Linked DNA regions of Coturnix japonica. The protein of the gene in region 1 interacts with the protein of each later gene in a pairwise test. Links are inferred from orthologs where the notes say so. Each region holds a gene or a part of one and is shown in the gene's direction. Other genes may lie near its edges.

Region 1 (4,427 bases):
GTGCCAGAACGCCTCGGAACCTGTGCAGGTTTGGCTGTGTGTGCAGGGCAGGCTCGGTGGGTGTATGGGAACTGTTGAGTCCCGGCCGACCCACTGACTGAGCCCCTGGGAGCACAGGTGAAGGCACTCAGCCGAGGGACAGCAGGGGCTGGAGCCGGGCTGCACCTCACTGAAGGGCTGACAGCTCCCACCAGAAATCCTTCCCCTGTACATCTCCCTCCGGGGCAGACTTTCTTGTGAGCCCAGATCTGCAGAAATGGGTGAGCACTGTTTGTTTGAAACACCGTTCTGTCTGCGCGAGCCTCGTTGCTGTTACACCTCTGTATCACCCTTCCGCCGTGTTAATGTTTCTGAGTGTAGCAGTGGGTCCCCAGGGAACACAGCAGCACCGCACCCCGCTGTCCGACCATCGGCCTCCTCTGCTGCAGCTCAGCGCTGTGGGAGCCTTGCACACTGCAGGGGGCGCAGCTCGGCACTGCTTTGAGAAACTGCAGATTATTGTTGTCCTGAATCTTGTTTTGCAACGACAGTCTTGTTTCTTTGCTCTGCTGCACCAATACAAGGTAAATTGCAGTTTCTTTGTCAGAAGAGACGTGGAGTTTCCTACCCGAAGCTGCTTCCTAGTGCTCCTCACCTTCAGCATCAAGTTTCACGTTCTGCTTGCTCAGTTTTTCCACACGGCGCACTGAGCATCCCAGAGCCCTGACTGACCAGAACAGGCTGCTCAAGTGCGGCCACATACCACATATCTGTCCTCCCTGGCACCCTGGACGCCAGCAGCCCCCATTGGCACGGCAGGATCGCTCACAACCACTGTTGTACCTGAGGAGCAGACAAAAATCAGGGGCTTTAACCTTCTATTTTATGTTTCCGGAAGCCGGATCTCCTGTACCAACATACTTGTCTGTAACTGAAGGAGGAAAAGAGCCATCGAGAAGAGATCAAGACCTCAGTGCTCTGTTCACCTCGGAGGGACAGAGAAGGAAGAAGCCGATAGGAAGGAACAAAAGCCGATGGCGAAGCCTGAGCATCCCTTAACACCGCAGGCTCCTGTGGCGTCACTGTGGATATTGCGGTTATGTGGCAGCCGGCATTTAAAGCTCCACGTGGAGTTTTACGTTTGTGTGACTCTCAATCAGACCGACGGCGTCAACTGAGCCGTGCCCAGGATCGCCCTTGTCATGTCGCGGTTCGGTGCCGGAGCGCACAGCACCAGCAGGCGGAGCGCGGCCCGAGGGGGGGCACCGACTGCTGCAGGGAACCGGAGCCGAGGCTCCGCCGAGCGGCCCGGGCTCGGCGCGGGAGGAGAACCGTCCCACGGGAGGAGAGAGAACCACCCCCCGGGAGGGGAACCGTTCCCCGGTGGGGCCGCCAGCCGTCCCTGCCACCGGCTCTGACACCGGCTCTGCCACCGGCTCTGCCTTCCAGCCGCGCCGTCAGTCCCCGCCCCGTTGGCCGCAGTGGCGCAGCGCGTCCATCCGGGGCGGAGCTCGGGGCGCTTTAAGAGCCGCTCGCCAGTCCCGGCGCGCTGCAGCGGCGGCCGTCGCGTTACCATGGAGACGACGGCCGTGCCGGTCGCTATGGAGACGGCAGCGCCCCGGCCGCCGGGCGCATCGCGCTGCGGGGCGGCGCGGAGACACGCGCTGCTGGCGGTGATCGGACCGGTCGGAACCGAGTCGGAGCGCGGGGCGCTGCGAGGAGCCCTGGAGCGCGGTGAGGAGCGGCGGACGAGGGACGCGCCGTGACGGGGTCTCCGCCGTTCGCCGTCCGCCGCCGAGCTGCCGCAGAGCTCCGCCATCCGCACGGAGGGGCGGCGTCCCGGGCGGTGGGACGGGACGGGATGTGATGGGACGGGATGGGATGGGACGGGACGGGATGGGATGTGATGTGATGTGATGGGATGTGATGTGATGGGATGTTGTGATGCGCGGGGAGCTCCGTTCTGCGGGGCGGCACCGCGCGGAGCCGAGCGCTGCAGATCGGGGGGGGGATGGAGCTCGCGTGGCCGTGGCCCTGCTGAGCGCTGCGGCTGTTCGGAGCACAGACGTGCTTTTTTCCCCTCTGTTCTGCACGTTTCCCCCCATTTCCCGCCTCCCTCGTGGCTCCGCAGGTCGGGGCTCGTTTTCGTCTTGCCCGACCTTCGGCTCGTTGCGGGCTCCGTCGTGCGGGGCAGCTCCCCGCAGTGCGAGGGCGCGGAGCGACCCGCGGGACCGCGACCTGCGGGAGGACAAAGCGCAGCCGCAGCGGGAGGGCGAGGAGCTGCGCGGGGCTCCGCTGTTGTGCCGCTGTTGTGCCGCTGTTGTGCTCCCCGTGCCGGGGCGGCGCCCGGGGCCTGGCAGAGGTCCGTCTCTGTACAGGGGAGGTGGTATTATATAAAGCGACGGGCACCCGCCGGTGGGGCGGAGGCTGCAGCTTCGTGGCTGTTTCTAATGGTTCTAAGGACGGACCATCGTGACATCAGCGCCTCAAAGGTGGGAGAGACGGTGTCCCGTCCTCAGCGGTGTCCTACACCGGTAAAAATGAAATAATACCTCCGGAAAGTTTGTATGTGCTTCTCTCCTTTCTCACCATTTCCAGGGTAAATTGGTTTTAAGTACCAGGAAAGATAAATGCAGGTTTTGAGGTGCGGACTGTAAGCGGCGCAGCCCCGTTCTGCGGTCAGCGCTCTGCCGGGTGCCTCCCGAGTCCTATCGGGTGCAGATGCACGTGGGCGAGCATCCCCTGGCAGCAGCTTCTTGATGGCAAGCAAAACTGGTCCAAAACATTGCATGCTACACATCTAGGTTTTTATTTATAGGTTTGTCTTAAGAATAAAACAGTTCTTGGTTTGCCTTTGTTCTTCTGGCTGTTGTGCCCTCCCTGAGCAAAACCTCAGGAGGAGGTTCGTGGAGGGTAAATGAATGTATCCCTTGTTCAGGCTGAACCAGAAAACTCACTTTCCCCATTTTCTTCTTATAGCTTGATTCAAAGAAATTGAATAACGCATATAGGACACTGCAGGGGAACCTGCTCGTTTCCACCCTTACTGCTCCTGATGCAACGTCACTGTATCTGTGGCACACTTGAATACCTATTCTAAAACGATGTCCAACAAATACTGGTCTGATTCTTCTGTTCCTGTGTAACTTTTGTCCTGATCTGAAATATTATTTGAAGTAGTATAAGAAGAAAATACCTGATCTTAAAACCCAATTATCTTGGCAGGAAATTAACAACAAAACAACAAAAAATATTACAAGGGTATAATGAAAGAGGTGGGAAGCAGACAAGTCCCATGGTATGTTACCCAATCTGTGCATGTAAGAAAAATATGCACACTTAGAAACCCTGTTATGGCACAGTCTGCAGTCCTACATCAGCAGACAGGATGCTAATCAGCAAGGACGTTGTTCTGGCTGTTGTACAATGGCATAAATTGAAACAGGCAGGTGGGGATGGGTAAGAAGTGATTTTAGACTGCCTGGAAAAGAAAAAAACTATTGCATAAATTGTGGCAATAATGAGTGAAAGGAAAATTTCATTTTTCTTTGCTCTGAAAGAGTATATTTGGCTGCATTCTGGAGGAAGTAGAAGTGCCTCTAATAGCATCAGTTGCTGCAGTTGGACTCCAGGACTCTGACACAGCAGCTCGAGTCAGCAGGATGTGTCCTACAGCGTGCTGCTGTGCCCTGCTCAGGTGGAAATGCTTACAGACACTGCAGTAAGAGGCACTTGTACTGGACACTAACTTAATCTGTCATGCTTTCCAAGAGTATTTCATGGGAAAACAGTCTTTTCATCTTTTTCCTTCCTGTTGTGCTATTGTTTTGTTGTGCATTTTACTTGTTGCTATCCTTCACTAGCCTAAAAGAAATAGGTGCTCTGCAGTGCTGAAGGTGGTGGAAAGTTTCTGGATTTTCAGAGGGCTTAATGTTTGTTTGTTTTGTGTACTCTGTTGTGCAACTGTATTACTCCGTGGTTTTGGCTGTCATCAGAAAAAAAAATCCTAAGACAAACATTTTCACAATTTGCTGTGAATTCTTGAGACTACTGAAGTGCAGTGCAGTGACCAGGTGATTCCATCCTGTATCTGTGCTGAACGTTGGAGCTTGTATCCTAGAAAATACTGCTTTCCACCAGTAGCCTTCAGAAGCTCTTGTGCAACATCAGGTTGCTGTGCTGGAGAACCAGAACTGCGGTAACCGGGATAGTATCTGTGAAAAGTGAACATGCTTCACTCCTAAAGAAGGCAGAGATTTGGCAGAGAGGGCACACCTTCAGAAAATGGTGGAGTAACTCTCAACAAGGACCTTAAAAATAAATACCAGGGCTGAGATCTGAGGAGCTCTGGTTAACTCCTGCAAGTCTGTGGTAGTGGTCTTCAGCAGCCATGCTTCTGCAGCCAGCAGCATATAGAGGTTTGCAAAGTGATTCATGGTGTAGTTCCA
Region 2 (4,500 bases), on another chromosome or scaffold:
CTCATGAACCCCAAAAGTCAAATCATAGATTCATCACGGCATCGTTTGAATCGGAAGGCAGCATTAAAGGTCGTCTGGTTCAACTTCCTTGCAGCGAACAGGGAATAAAAAGGAATAGAAATAAAACCGAATTCAAAAGCATCTTTAAGTAGCACCTCCCACGAGCTGTAAGGCACCCGGAGCTTCTCCCTGCAGCTGCCTTGGGAGCAGGCCGGGCATTGCCGGCTGCAGAGCGACCACCAGGGGGCACCGAACTCCGGCGAAAGGAACGACAGCCGCTTCCGAAGGGATCCGAGCAACTGGAAAACAGCACAACGCATCAAGATTTGCATTATGCAGCAAATGAACTACAGCTGCCCATTAGAAGGGGTGCACATGCTTGTGATACTGTAGGGACAATAACGATGTGATGAACACAGAATTGCTCTGGTTGGAAAAGACCTTAAAGATCATCGAGTCCAACCATAACCTTACCATACCACCCTCACTAACAACCCTCTGCTCAATCCTGTCCCTGAGCACCGCATCCAAACGGCAATTAAACACATCCAGGGATGGTGACCCAACCACCTCCATGGGGAGCCCATTCCAATGCTCAACAACCCTTTCTGTAAAGAAGTGCTTCCTAATATCCAACCTAAACTTGCCCTGGTGCAACTTGAGGCTATTTCCCTTCATCCTGTCACCTGTCACCCGCTCTCACTGTAAGCACCTTTCAGTTAGAGCAATATTGTCTCCCCTCAGCCTCCTTTTCCCCAGACTGAACAGCCTCAGCTCCCCCAGTCACTCCCCATGACAAGGACATGCCAGCGTGGGAAGGAAGACTTCAACGCAGGTGACTTATTCAGGGTTATGGGAAGAGCCTGCAATTGTGAGCAGTGATAAATGTAAAGGGATGAAACGGAGCCTGCTGACAGTTCCAACGTAAGTGTAACACAGTTCCAACGTAAGGGTAACACTTTCACAGTCTTTTGTCAGACCTGGGTTTGAATGTATTAGGTGTGAAAGGTGCAAAGTAAGATCAGACCCACATCCAGCCATCTCCAGCAGTAGTTCCTCAGCCCTTTTCCGGCCAAAAGCCAAAGGAGAGACTCTCAAGCGTGACGATCTGTTTCCACTGAGGAAGGGAAGCGGGGCTGAGCCGAGTGTCCGAAATCGAAGGCTTTTCTTGCATTAAACCGCCTCAGCTCTGCGGGTTCAGGAGGTGCCTCCCGCCTTGCTCTGCTTCCATCCCCTCAGGAGCTGAGCTGCCCTCAGGAGGGGCCGCGTCGGGGGCTGCCTCTGCCGCAGAGCTCCCGTGGGGGCCCAGCACCCAGCATACAACCCCCAGCCCTGCTCCTCAGCTCCTCAGCCACACAGCCCAGCCCTGACCACATCCCAGCCCTGACCACAGCCCAGCCCCACCAGCCCCATCCCCGGCCCTGCCCGCCCTCAGCCTCCCCCCATCGCGGCTCCCCTCAGCCCCGCCGCCCTCCCGCCCCCTCCTCCCTCGCTCCCCGCCTCCCGCCCGCAGGGCTCGACCAATCGTGACGCTCTCCGCCGGGGATGACCTCACTCCCTGCCTTCCCATTGGCTGGCTATATTAGGAAAGTCGGAGAGCCTTTAAATACCGGTGCCGGCGTTCAGCTTGCGGCATTGGCGGTGCGGAGCGGAGCGGGGCTGGTTCTTTCTGCTTCCTTTAGTGCTTTGCCGGCTGTTGCTGCCGTTCCCTTGCGAAGAGTTGGACTGAGCCGGGCGGGACCGGCGGCTGAATCGTATCCCCGGGGCAGGGGACGGAGACGCGGTGGCAGCTCGGGTAGCCCGCCTGCTCGCTGCCTACGTGGGCCCGGCTCGCCACGGTGCCCTGTGAGAAACGAGAAGAAGCGGGAGGCGGCGGCCGCGGGGAGGAGGGCGCTGCCATCGTCCTGCTGCACGGCAAGGCCAGCTTGGCGAGCCTGGCCATGGCCGCCATCCGCAAGAAGTTGGTGGTGGTGGGGGACGGAGCCTGCGGCAAGACCTGCCTCCTCATCGTCTTCAGCAAGGACGAGTTCCCCGAGGTTTACGTGCCCACCGTCTTTGAGAACTACGTGGCTGATATCGAGGTGGACGGCAAGCAGGTGGAGCTGGCGCTGTGGGACACGGCCGGCCAGGAGGACTACGACCGCCTGCGCCCTCTGTCCTACCCAGATACGGACGTGATCCTCATGTGCTTCTCTGTGGACAGCCCGGACTCTCTGGAGAACATCCCGGAGAAGTGGGTGCCCGAAGTCAAACACTTCTGCCCCAACGTCCCCATCATCCTGGTGGCCAACAAGAAAGACCTGCGCAACGATGAGCACGTTCGCAATGAGCTGGCCCGCATGAAGCAGGAGCCGGTGCGCACAGAGGATGGCCGCGCCATGGCCATCCGCATCCAGGCTTACGACTACCTGGAGTGCTCGGCCAAGACCAAGGAGGGTGTCCGGGAGGTCTTTGAAACAGCCACCCGGGCGGCCTTGCAGAAGCGTTACGGCACTCAGAACGGCTGCATCAATTGCTGCAAGGTCCTATAGGGTGAGGCTGGAGCTCGGTGCCGGGCACGGCGCCTGGGTCACCTGTTGGCAGGCGGAGAGGAGCTGGGGCACGCATGCACACGGCATCTGCCTGTCCCCTCAGCTGGGGGCTCGCAGGGAATGGGGGTGGGGACTAAGGGAGGGGCACGCTCCCTCAGCCGTAAAGGGTTGTGCTGGCTCAGCCGCGGGGACGGAGGGAGGGGGGGTGGGGATTGCATGCCCTGAGTCTTGGGAATCGGGTGGGGAGGAGCGTTCTCCCGTCACTGGCCCCTTCAAGTTGATAGACTCTAAACAAGAAGCTGCTGAGACTGGACTGAGCAAACATTGCACCCAGCTCTCTGCCTGCGCCCACCACCTGCGGCTCCCGGCTCCCAGGCGGCCTCCTCTCTTTTGCAAGAGGAGAGCGGTGGAGCTGAGATGCTGGAAGGGACTTCTGCCTCCTGCGTGCATGTGCCTCCCCTCAGGCGAGCTGGGGAGCAGGCTGCATCTTTTGGGCTGCTTGTGGCGTCCTGACGTCTCCTGCAGGTGTTCTGGCCTGAACCTGACATGATGTGCAAGTTGGCCTTGAAGACCTGGACTGGGAGGGGAGGCTCATCCCAAGCAAAGCCTGTATATATCTTACTTTTCTGTCTTGTGCAAACCGGGGTAGTGCAGGGGGTGCTTATTTCAAGTGAGGTGGGGAGGGGGTGCCCTGCTGGGACTTATAATTGTGCAAAGGAACGCTTTGCCCAGCACAACCGATGCCTGCTGCTGACATGAGCCTTGAATTGTCACTGGGCTGGGAAGTAAAGCTGGGCTGCTCCATCCTGGTGGTGGATGTGGCAAGGGAGCGAGGGGGACGGAGCTTATTGCCATATGATGATCTTGGTGCCTGCTCCTTCATTTCATGTTGTCTTCTGCGAATGCATTGATTTGGGTTTATTTAAACGCTTGTTTTGAAGTGAGTTTGCACAGTTTGGATTTCTGTTGGCTACTCAATGTGTTTGTATCTTCATTCAGCACCGCAGCGTTGGAAACATTCTTCCTCGGTAACCTCATCTGGGCCTTGTTGTACATTGTGACTTGGGCACGAGTAATGGAAATCACTGTATCTCTTTTTGCCTTGGAAAAAGATGAAAGCACTGTTCCTTACGCATCGAGTACATCAGACTTTTAATATTAAAGGGCAGATTAAAGAGTTTAGGTTTATTTAAAACTTATTTTCGCTGGGTAGCAGACCCAGGTGAAAATAATGCAGCGTTTCTCTGGGTCAGAGAACAGATTTACCTGTTTGTTTGTTTCCTTCCTCTCTCTCCTTCCCTTAACAGTGGTACTGAGACTGTTTGTTGTTTTTAAGAACTTGCCATGGCGACAACTGAGATGTATATGATGTTTACATAAATCTATGAACTGTGTATGCAGGTTTTTTTTTAATGTAAAGTATTAAAAGATTCTATGCTGAATTAAGGTGGTGGTGTGATTTCCAGGGCTGCCCTCATTGGAGCTGGAGCCCAGTGCTGGTGAGCTGTGTGAGTTTGCCCTGTGCTATTATGGTACCTCCTCCTCTGGCTGACGATACCTGTCAGGCAGCTTGCAGGGCTATGGGGGTTTTATTTCCCTTTGGGAAATCCTACAGTCAGTTTTTCGGTCCTAAAACAAACATCTTTTACCAAAAGCAGAACTCAAACCCTCAGTTTGTTATGTTTAAAGGGGCCGCCCTCACAGTATCATAGAATATCCTGCGTCGGGAGGGACCCAAAGGGATCATAGAGCACCCATCCTTGCAGAGAGCTCTGAAGCCACATCTTACACATCCTACTGTTCCACACAATGCCAACATGGGATATTAAAATCAGCACGGGGAACCTTTGCCTTAAACCAACTGCCTACAAGCTCATTAGGCTGCAGTGATAAGTCATAATCTCAACATCCCCAAAGAGAAAACATTAATATTTGTATTTTAAACACTAGGAAATGACTTAGCATCGCG

The links.
Region 2: the proteins of MAP1A (region 1) and RHOB interact in a two-hybrid assay, tested with the Homo sapiens proteins (2 studies listed by BioGRID and IntAct). The link is inferred for Coturnix japonica from reciprocal best matches to the Homo sapiens genes MAP1A and RHOB.

Annotation. Positions count from the first base shown.
Region 1 is NC_029525.1:18,381,913-18,386,339, reverse strand, and holds the start of MAP1A (microtubule-associated protein 1A), read left to right. Parts: upstream 1-1,536; 5' UTR 1,537-1,553; coding exon 1,554-1,713; intron 1,714-4,427. UniProt on the Homo sapiens protein: Structural protein involved in the filamentous cross-bridging between microtubules and other skeletal elements.
Region 2 is NC_029518.1:92,811,229-92,815,728, forward strand, and holds RHOB (rho-related GTP-binding protein RhoB), read left to right. Parts: upstream 1-1,622; 5' UTR 1,623-1,940; coding exon 1,941-2,531; 3' UTR 2,532-3,973; downstream 3,974-4,500. UniProt on the Homo sapiens protein: Mediates apoptosis in neoplastically transformed cells after DNA damage. Not essential for development but affects cell adhesion and growth factor signaling in transformed cells. Plays a negative role in tumorigenesis as deletion causes tumor formation.